Cricetulus griseus: one gene and its partner. The main gene of each other region encodes a partner of the protein of the gene in region 2 in a complex. Links are inferred from orthologs where the notes say so. Each region holds a gene or a part of one and is shown on either strand. Other genes may lie near its edges.

Evidence for each region.
Region 1: the proteins of Plekhm2 (region 2) and Arl8b are in contact, whole or in part, in a crystal structure (PDB 8JCA), measured with the Homo sapiens proteins. The link is inferred for Cricetulus griseus from reciprocal best matches to the Homo sapiens genes PLEKHM2 and ARL8B. Residues at the interface, in NP_055979.2 of Homo sapiens: His70, Phe71, Thr72, Arg73, Arg74, Glu75, Glu103, Ser105, Glu107, Ser108, Tyr109, Arg111, Leu112, Glu115, Glu147, Phe148; in NP_060654.1 of Homo sapiens: Glu22, Thr52, Val53, Gly54, Phe55, Asn56, Met57, Lys68, Trp70, Arg77, Phe78, Arg84, Tyr85, Arg87, Gly88, Val89.

The regions. Positions count from the first base shown.
Region 1 is NC_048601.1:35,693,569-35,697,972, forward strand, and holds the start of Arl8b (ADP-ribosylation factor-like protein 8B), read right to left. Parts: upstream 2,956-4,404; 5' UTR 2,777-2,955; coding exon 2,654-2,776; intron 1-2,653. UniProt on the Homo sapiens protein: Small GTPase which cycles between active GTP-bound and inactive GDP-bound states.
Region 2 is NC_048595.1:11,590,540-11,594,956, reverse strand, and holds the start of Plekhm2 (pleckstrin homology domain-containing family M member 2), read right to left. Parts: upstream 2,970-4,417; 5' UTR 2,713-2,969; coding exon 2,689-2,712; intron 1,929-2,688; exon of another isoform or gene 1,825-1,928; coding exon of another isoform or gene 1,765-1,824; intron 1-1,764. UniProt on the Homo sapiens protein: Plays a role in lysosomes movement and localization at the cell periphery acting as an effector of ARL8B.

The DNA of each region.
Region 1 (4,404 bases), on a different chromosome or scaffold from region 2:
AGAATGGCGAAAAAGAGACACAAGGGAAGCTCGTGTCTAAGGAGTCAGCCCCCTTTCTCAGCATTTTAAACCCCACCACCAATTTACAGTCTACATTTTTTTCTTCTTTTCTTAAATTATTTTTGTTTGGGGGGAGCAGTCTTACTGTGTAACTGTGACTGGTCTGGTTACTTGTTATAGTAGACACAGATCAAGCTGACCCTCAAAGTTGTAGCAACCATCCTGCCTCAGCCTGTGAAGTGCTGGAATTACAAGTAAGCATCACCATGTCTAGAACATTAGCATTTTAACTGACAGATCATAATTATATTTGTGTGTGTATTTGTGTGTGTGTGTGAGTGTGTTTCACATTACATAATATTTTATGTAATGTTTTATTATATATAGAATTTGGAATGATTAAAGTAAGTTAAACATAGCCTCTTTTGTGGGAGTTTCTTTTTTAGGAGGCTATCTACACTATAATTCAAACATAATACTTTAATATTGATTGATAACAGAAGGTCACTAAACTCAACAGGAGACATTTGATAACTGTTAAAAGAAGCCAATACAAAAGGAGGAGGGCATCGGGTACTTTATTCCCACAAACCAGAAAACCATGACTGCAGACCACACTTGTCTGAGAGGCAAAGGAGAAGACCCATACTGATTCCTTTCTTAATATTTCCTTGTGTCTGCATTAAGTAGTACAGCCACTACAAATATTAACAAGTTATTACTTCCCTACTTCTCTTAGTTAGCCCTTAGAGCAATTCCGTTAAGAAATATATTGTTATCTGCATTTAATAGATAAGATTACAGTCAACTCAAAGAGGATCCAAGGCTGCTAAGTAGCAGATCCAGATTTTAAACCGGGGTCGTGGCATAAAGTTCGGACTTGTTATATTAAGCTATACTGTCTGGTGATGAAAGTAATATTAATTAATTAATATTAATTGTTATATTAAGCTATACTGTCTGGTGATGACAGAAGCCTGAAAGTAAGCAGTGTGTCTCTTGAATTCTACTCACTGGTGCAGGTTCTTACATTAACTACTCCTCCACAGCAAATACAACTGACCATGCTGACACGCCCACGTGTCCCAACTCAATCTTGTCCAAGAGATGGGATTTCCAAGGAAACTCCAATTCTTTTTTTTGTTGGGGGGGGGGTTCGAGGTAGGGTTTCTCTGGGGCTTGGAGGCTGTCCTGGAACAAGCCTGGACCACACTTGCCTCGAACTCAGAGAGAACCTTCTGCCTCCCGAGTGTTGGGATTAAAGGTGTGGGCCACCAACCCCCGGAGGAAATTCCAATTCTTATCTCAGGTAAATAACAGAAAATAAACACCTCAAAGGCTACAGAAAAGCTCTAATATGAAAGAGATCATAAAGTCTGTTCTGCCTTATTCTCTTCGTATTAGAGAATACGATTATTATGGGGGGGGGGGCAATACAGAAGGCACCAAACATGAAGCAGACAAATTTTCTTTATACTTATATTTAGTCTTTTCCAAAAGAAGTTTGGGTTTCTGCTCCTCTTTCTACAGGTCCTGTTCACGCCTGTTGCTCTGTTACTACACATACTGACTCACAAGTTGCCTAGTTTCTCCCATGGCACTGTACCTGAATCACTCCTGTGGCCAAACCAGTCAGACAGCCCAGCTGTCTACTCTGCAACCACCCTCTCCCAAGGTCTGAGAACTGCCGCCACTTGTCTCCAATTGTACAGCTCAACCCTGTAAGTGCAGCCCTAAGACTGCGCGGTGACTCCTAGGCTCTAAGCGACTGACAAGAAATCACTTACTCCCATTCCTTTCCCAACCAATCAGAACGGCAAAAACTCAACAACCACTCTCCCACGGAATTAACCACCACATTATATTTAAGTTCTCAAGGCAATTTCCCCGAGTGTGCATAAGCTACGTCTCCCTGCAAACAAATTCCTTCTCTACAAGGAAAAGAAAAGAAAAAGAAAAAGAAAAAGAAAAAGAAAAAGAAAAAGAAAAGAAAAAGAATCTCTCTCAAGATCAAACCCTGCAGGACACTTAACTTCATGGTGAATGCAGCTCCATCTATCTTAACTCGCTTAACACAACTCTGGGAAGACAGAAACTCGCCTCGCCCTGACTCCTTGCCTTAATAAATACTAGGAACTGAATGGTCTCCCCAGCAGCGTCCACCAAGTGTGCTAGGCCATCAGCTTGATCTTCGGCTCTCCACGGACAAGCGACAAAGACCAAGCGAACTGGAGGCGCCAAGGCTCCCCCTGGCATTCCACAGAGGCGCCCACACGGGTCGCCTGCTTTCACAATGGGACTCCTCCGTCCCAAGTGGAGATTTCAGAGTGGCTCCCCCCTCTCCTCTGGCAGACGTTCTAGAGAAGGCCGGACTAGCCCGTCCGGGCGGGCGAGCAAGTGACAGGTTGGAGTTAACTCTTCAGCTTCCGCAGCCCCAAGGCCGCAACTGTGACAGGCTCGGATTAACCCTTTCCGAGCCGCGTTAAAGGCACAGCGCCCACCGTAACGCAGAGCGGAATCGGCCCTCGGGCCGCTGACCCGCTAAGCTACAATCTCCCAGGCCCACATGCGCAGGGTCGCACGGCCCGGCCCGGCCCTCGGGGAGGTGACAAGCCCGGGTCGGCGGCCGGGTCGCCCGCAGACGACTGCTCACCGCGATGACATTGACGAAGGTGGTCTTGCCCGAATACTGCAGCCCCACGAGGGTCAGTTCCATCTCCTCCTTCCAGAAGAGCGAGCGGAACCAGTCCAGCAGGCGGGAGATGAGCGCCAGCATGGCGGCGGCCGGGAGCGAGCGGGGACGGGTGCGGACGACGGCGGTCACTGCTTCCCACGAGCGGCAATCGGCCCTGAACCCACTAACGGCTCCTCGGCGGGCCCCCCGGCGCGACTCGGGCGGACACAAGCGGGCGGCAGCGACGGCCAGAGCCAGGAAACCCAGCGGGTCATATGACTCGCCCTACCCACCCCCCACGCCTGGCCCAGCCCAGTCTCGGAAGCGCACGGCAAGAGCGGCGCCGCCCGGCGGATCCCGAGAGCCCGCCGCCGACAGTGCCACCTGGTGGTGAGGTTGGGCACAGCCTTCAGTCGCCTTGATGTCGATTCAGTTTTATAGTAAGCCTTTGCTCTTTCATAAAAGTTCATTAGCCATTTTTTTTCCCCACCTATTAATCTCCTCAGCTAGAAGCATGCCAGCAATTTCAGTATTTGGGAGGTGAAGGCAGGAAGATCAGGAGTTCAACAAACAAAACATGCGGGGTTGCAGGGATGACTCAGACAGAGTCTAAGAGTGCTTGCCGCTTTTTCAGAGGTCCTGAGTTCGGGACCCAACACCCCCATCTGGCACCCTCAACAGCCTGGAAGTTCAGTTCGAGGGGATCCTGGTCCAGGGTTCTCTGACCTCGTCCTCGTGGACCCCTGTATGCACATACCCCCACACAGAGACGCATAATAATAACTCTTTAAAAAAAAATGAGTTGGTCCTGATTGGATTTTTCTACAAATGTTCATTGACAATGCACTCTGAAAGAAAATGTTAATACTCTAAGTATAGAATTTTAAAAATCAGAATTTGGGTTGGCGATGCAGACACTTGCCTGGCACTGGGTTCCACCCCTGAGCTGATTAAAGTGCCCATTACTGCATAGAACTGGGTATGGTGATGCATGCCAGTAACCCCAGCATTTGGGAGATAAAGGAAGAAGGTTCAGAAGTTCAAGGCCACTCTGAGCTTCATGATACTCTGTCTGATGATGATGAAGATGATGACAATGAAAATGATGAAGCTCTGAATTAGGAGTGGGGTGCACACTTGTAAACCCATTGGAGTGTGACACAGGAGGATCGTAGGTCAAGTTTTGCTTGGTGAATTCAAGACCAACCTGAACTACATAGTGAACCTAGAAAAACATGTCCCAAGCAAACAGAGACAGTAGTAACAGCAAAATCACTGCCCTCCCAGGGCTTACAGCACAGTGGGGAACATAATGTATAGCTAGCAAATGAGAAAATACCATGTGATACATTACACTAGAAAGAAAACTGATGGGGCTGGAGAGATGGTTCAGTGGTTAAGAACACTGACACCTCTTCCAAAGGACTAGGTTCAATTCCCAGCCCCCACATGGCGGCTCACAGCTGCCTGTAACTCCAGTTCTAGGGGACCTGACACCCTCACACAGACGTCCATGCAGGCAAAACACCAATGCACAGAAAATTATAAAGAAAACTGATGAGGAACAGAGAAGAACCTGGAGCCAACTCACTTGTCTTTACGGTCAGGTGACGCTGAGTGGAAAAGGGTTGAGGGAAGTGAGAAAGAGAACCAAGCTGACCTTTGGTGGAAGCACATTCCAGGAAAAAAAAAAAGAGCAAAGACTGTGAATGGGGAAGGTTAGTGAAGTG
Region 2 (4,417 bases):
TCTTACTGGGGCTGCCACGGCTGCTTCTTACATAGAGCACAGATGAGACTGGGCTGCAGAAGCCTTGGTGTCTCCTGCTGGAGCTGAACTCCGTCCCTCTGAGATAGAATCTCACTGCATGGCTCCAGCTGCCTTCAAACTAAGTAGCCCTGACTAACATCCTGACTCACAGTAAGTCTTACTAGAAGCAGAATCTTTTCTTTCTTTCTTTCTTTTTTTCAAGAGAAAGTCTCACTATGTAGTTCTAGCTGTCCTGGAACTTACTGTGTAGACCAGGCTGGCCTCAAACTCATAGAAAGCAGCCTGCCTCTGCCTCTGCCTCCCAAGTGCTGGACAAAGGCATGTGTCACTATGCCAAGCTAGAAGGAGAAAGAACCTTAAAGGAAGTCATGCATAGTGGTATGTACCTTTAATGCCAGCACTTGGGAAGTAGAATTGGAGGCCAGCCTGGTCTACATAGTAAGACTATAAAAGTAAGAAAGGAAGAGGGGGGGAGGGAGAGAGGGAGGGAGGGAGGGAGGGAGGAAGGAGGAAGGAAGGAAGGAAGGAGGAAGGAAGGAAGGAAGGAGGAAGGAAGGAAGGAAGGAAGGAAGGAAGGAAGGAAGGAAGGAAGGAAGGCAAAGCAAAGCAGAGCAAAGCAAGAGGCCCAGAGAGATGGCTCAGTGGGAAAAGGTGCTTGCTAGCACAACTGACAAGCAGAGTTAATTCCTGGAACTCATATGGTGGGAGAGAACCGATTCTCAAAAGTTGTCCTCTGACCTCCACTCTCCTACCTAGCATGTGGGCACAATACAGATATACATATACACATACACAGAATAAATAAAATCTAACTTTTTAAAAAAGAGCAGAAAAGGAAACCCAGTTAAATCTTTTCAAATTAGACAAGGCAAGAGTTCAAGTAGTAAAAACTACATAGAAATTAAATCCCTTCTGATTGCCCATGTAGGTTTTCTGAGAATACGAATTCTACCACCTGGCGTGTTATCCTTCTTGGTTTGTGATTCCTACGCCTACTTTTTGTTTTTGAGACAGGGTCTCACTATGTAGTCCAGGCTAGCCTGGATCTCAAGATTCTGCCTTGGCCTCCTGAGTACTGGGATGACAGACATGCACCACCACACCCAAACCTTGTGAGGCTGGCCTGTCTCCTCATCCACGTGCATGCCCTTGAGAGGTAGTCATTTCTACCAGGGATTGGGGCAGTGACCAATAGGCACAAGCCCCAACGCAAAGTATCCTAGTGTCACTCTGTCCACAGCTCACTATCCAAAAATACATCCCTAGGCACTTCAGGTCCCCAGTCAGAACTCTGCAATCAGCTGTTTCTAAACTGCCATCCTGGAGTAGAATGTCTTGGGGACTCCCCAGGACGCCAGGCATTGTCGCCTAGCACAGCTGATGTGGCCAGCAAGTGTTGGTCCTCGGTCTTTGACCTGAGGAAGGATGGATGACTGCATCCATCCTTAGGGATGCTCTCTGTGCCGGCTCCTCCTCCCGGAGCCTTCCCGAGGTGTCACCGGTCCCTCTCGGGAAGGCAAGGCCGGGTCGGGCACCCGGGAGCTCCGAGGACGCTGACCTCAACTTTGTTTTTTTAAAAATAGCTCGGAGGCCGCGGCGCTCCCGGGAGCCGCCCGCGTCCCCTGGAGGGCTCGGGGTCGCCGGGAGGACGGTGACCCGGGATCCCGGTCACAGAGGCAAAGCGGGGGGGGGGGGGCGAACGACGGGGACCGGGCAGGGTCCCGGGCGAAGGAGGCCGCTCACCTTCTTCACCGACAGAGAGATGTTCTCCAGGATTCGGTCCTTCACCTCCCGCGGCTCCATGGCGCCGCCGCCGCCGCCCGTCGCCGCTTCCCGCGCCGGGCGCCCGGGCCGCCGCCAACCGCTGCCGCCGGCCGTGCGGGGCTCCGTCGTGCCGGCCGCGGGGCCCGGCGCCCGCCGCCCGCCTCGCTCGCCTCGCCTCGCCTCGCCCGGGCCTCGCTCCGCGCCCGCCGCCGCCGCCGCGCCTCCGAGCGCGGAGCCGGGAAGGAGACGCGGGCTGTGCGCGGCGGCAGGAACTGATGTCAGGCGGGGCGGGGCGGCGCCAGCACCGGCCGGGAGGGACGGCGAGGACCCGGCGGGCCCGCCTCCTCCGAGGCCCCGGGCCGGCGGAGACCAGGGGCTGCGGGGACTCAGAGATCCGGGGTGGCGGAGGCTCCCGGGGGCCCGGGGGACTCAGCCCGGACCGCACAGACGCGGGACCTGTGAGAGCCGGCGTCGCATAGACCCGGGGGACTCACGGACCTCAACACCCTGGGACGCAGAGCCCTTGTCCTCCTCCCAACCCCCCACTCACTCCCGCACAACTCCTCAAAGATCCGGGGACTTAAGATCCCGGACCTCACAGACCCCCGGGTCCCCTCCCAACTCCTCAGGGACACCGCGTTGTTCCCCGACGCCCCCGCACCAGGGCCCTGCGCAGGCCTGGCAACCCGCACAACTCATTAGAGGTCGCCCACTCCCTCCTCGCTTTCACCCCCTCCCTCCCCAGCAACATTCACGGACCCTCCTCCCACTCAGGACCAGCGCAGACAGCGCCCTCCCTCAGTCCAAATCCGGCATTCCTCACCCTTGCCCACAGGGGACCCAGACATGCCCGCATACTTGAGAGATTCTGGAGACAAGGCCTGGCTAGTCAGGGACACCTACCCGTCTCTTTTCCAACCCCTCCATGCAACCGCAGGGTTCAGGGCTTTGGATGGCTTAGACTCCAGCACCCAGACTTGGCAAAGCCCTCCAGTCTTCCCAAGACTCCATCACCCTCAAAGTCCAGTCCTCAATTTCAGGCCATTGCAAATCCCTGGTGACTCTCCTACCTCCAAAATAAACTCTTTCCCTAAGCAGCCTTCATACCTTTCTGTCCTGGCCAGTTTTATGCCAACTCAACTCACGAGGACACAAGCTAGAGTCATCTGAGACATGGGAACCTCAACTAAGAAAATGCCTCCAGGGCTGGAGAGACGGCTCAGAGGTTAAGAGCACTTGCTGCTCTTCCAGAGGTCCTGAGTTCAATTCCCAGCAACCAGATGGTGGCTCACAACCATCCGCTATGAGATCTGGTGCCCTCTTCTGATGTGCAGATATACATGGAAGCAGAATGTTGTATACATAATAAATAAATAAAATCTTAAAAAAAAAAGGAAAATGCCTCTATTAGATGGCTGTAGGCAAACCTGTAGGACAGTTTCTTAATTAGTGATTGATGTGGGAGGGCTCAGCCATGAAGAGTGTGCCATCCTTGGACTGGTGGTCCTGGGTTCTGTGAGCAAGCAGGCTGAACAAACAAACCATGGGTGCCGGTAACAGCCGGTAACACTTCCTTGGTGTCTGGATCAGCTACTGCCTCCAGGTCCCTGCCCTGTTTGAATTCCTGCCTTGATGTCTCTCAATGGACTGTAATTCAGGATATGTAAGCCAAATAAACCCTTTCCTTCCCAAGAAGCTTTAATTATGGAGTTTCATCAGAGCAGTAGGAAAGTAACTAAGACACCTACACCCTATCTCACTAAGAGCTTCACTCCCTCAGCCTGAGACCCACAACAACTCAAGGGACACACACAAGGTGCCCCAAACTCACCATCTCTACACTTGGGTTCTGTCTCCTACCTGGGCCACTTCTCTAAGTTTGGTCCCCAAATAAACATATCCTCACAGAGTGCTGAGTCCATTCTTTAGACACCAAAATTCTGACTTCTGGCTCCCTAGTTTTCAGTAGTATGTGCTCAGGCTAACTCATCCCTAATGCCATCTTAGAGCACTAATTCTACAGTCTATGACCAGAGGTCCCCAATCTTTCCCTGACCTCCAAAGAGAGCCTGAAGATGGTGGTAGTGTTACAGTTTTGTTCCCTGGGAGTGGATAGGGGACAAAATAGACTCTGAAAATGGGAAGGAAATCTGGGGTTCCCAAATTCCTTACTACTTGGGGCTAGTGGTGGCAGAGTCCCCAGTGCTAATCATGTTGAAACTAAGTGTCAGCCAGGCAGTGCACACCTGTTATCACAACCCTTAGGAAAAACAAACAAACAAACCAAACCAAACAAAAACAATAATGAAAACCCAAGCAAAAACATTAGGCCATGCCTATAATTCCAGTGCTGTTTTTTTTTTTTTTTTTTGTTTTGTTTTGCTTTGTTTTTATGGTTTTTTGAGACAAGTCTCACTCTGTGGCCCTGGCTGGCCTGAACTCATTATGTAGACCAGGTTGACCTTAAACTCTGACTTCCTCTGTTTCCCAAGTGCTGTGACTAATGGTGAGTAGAACCACACCACTAAATCCAGTATTAGTTTTTGAGCCAGGGATTCACCCTAGCCCTGCCTAGCCTTGAACTTGAGGTGATCCTCGTGCCTCAGACTCCAAGTACTGAGACACGCACAAC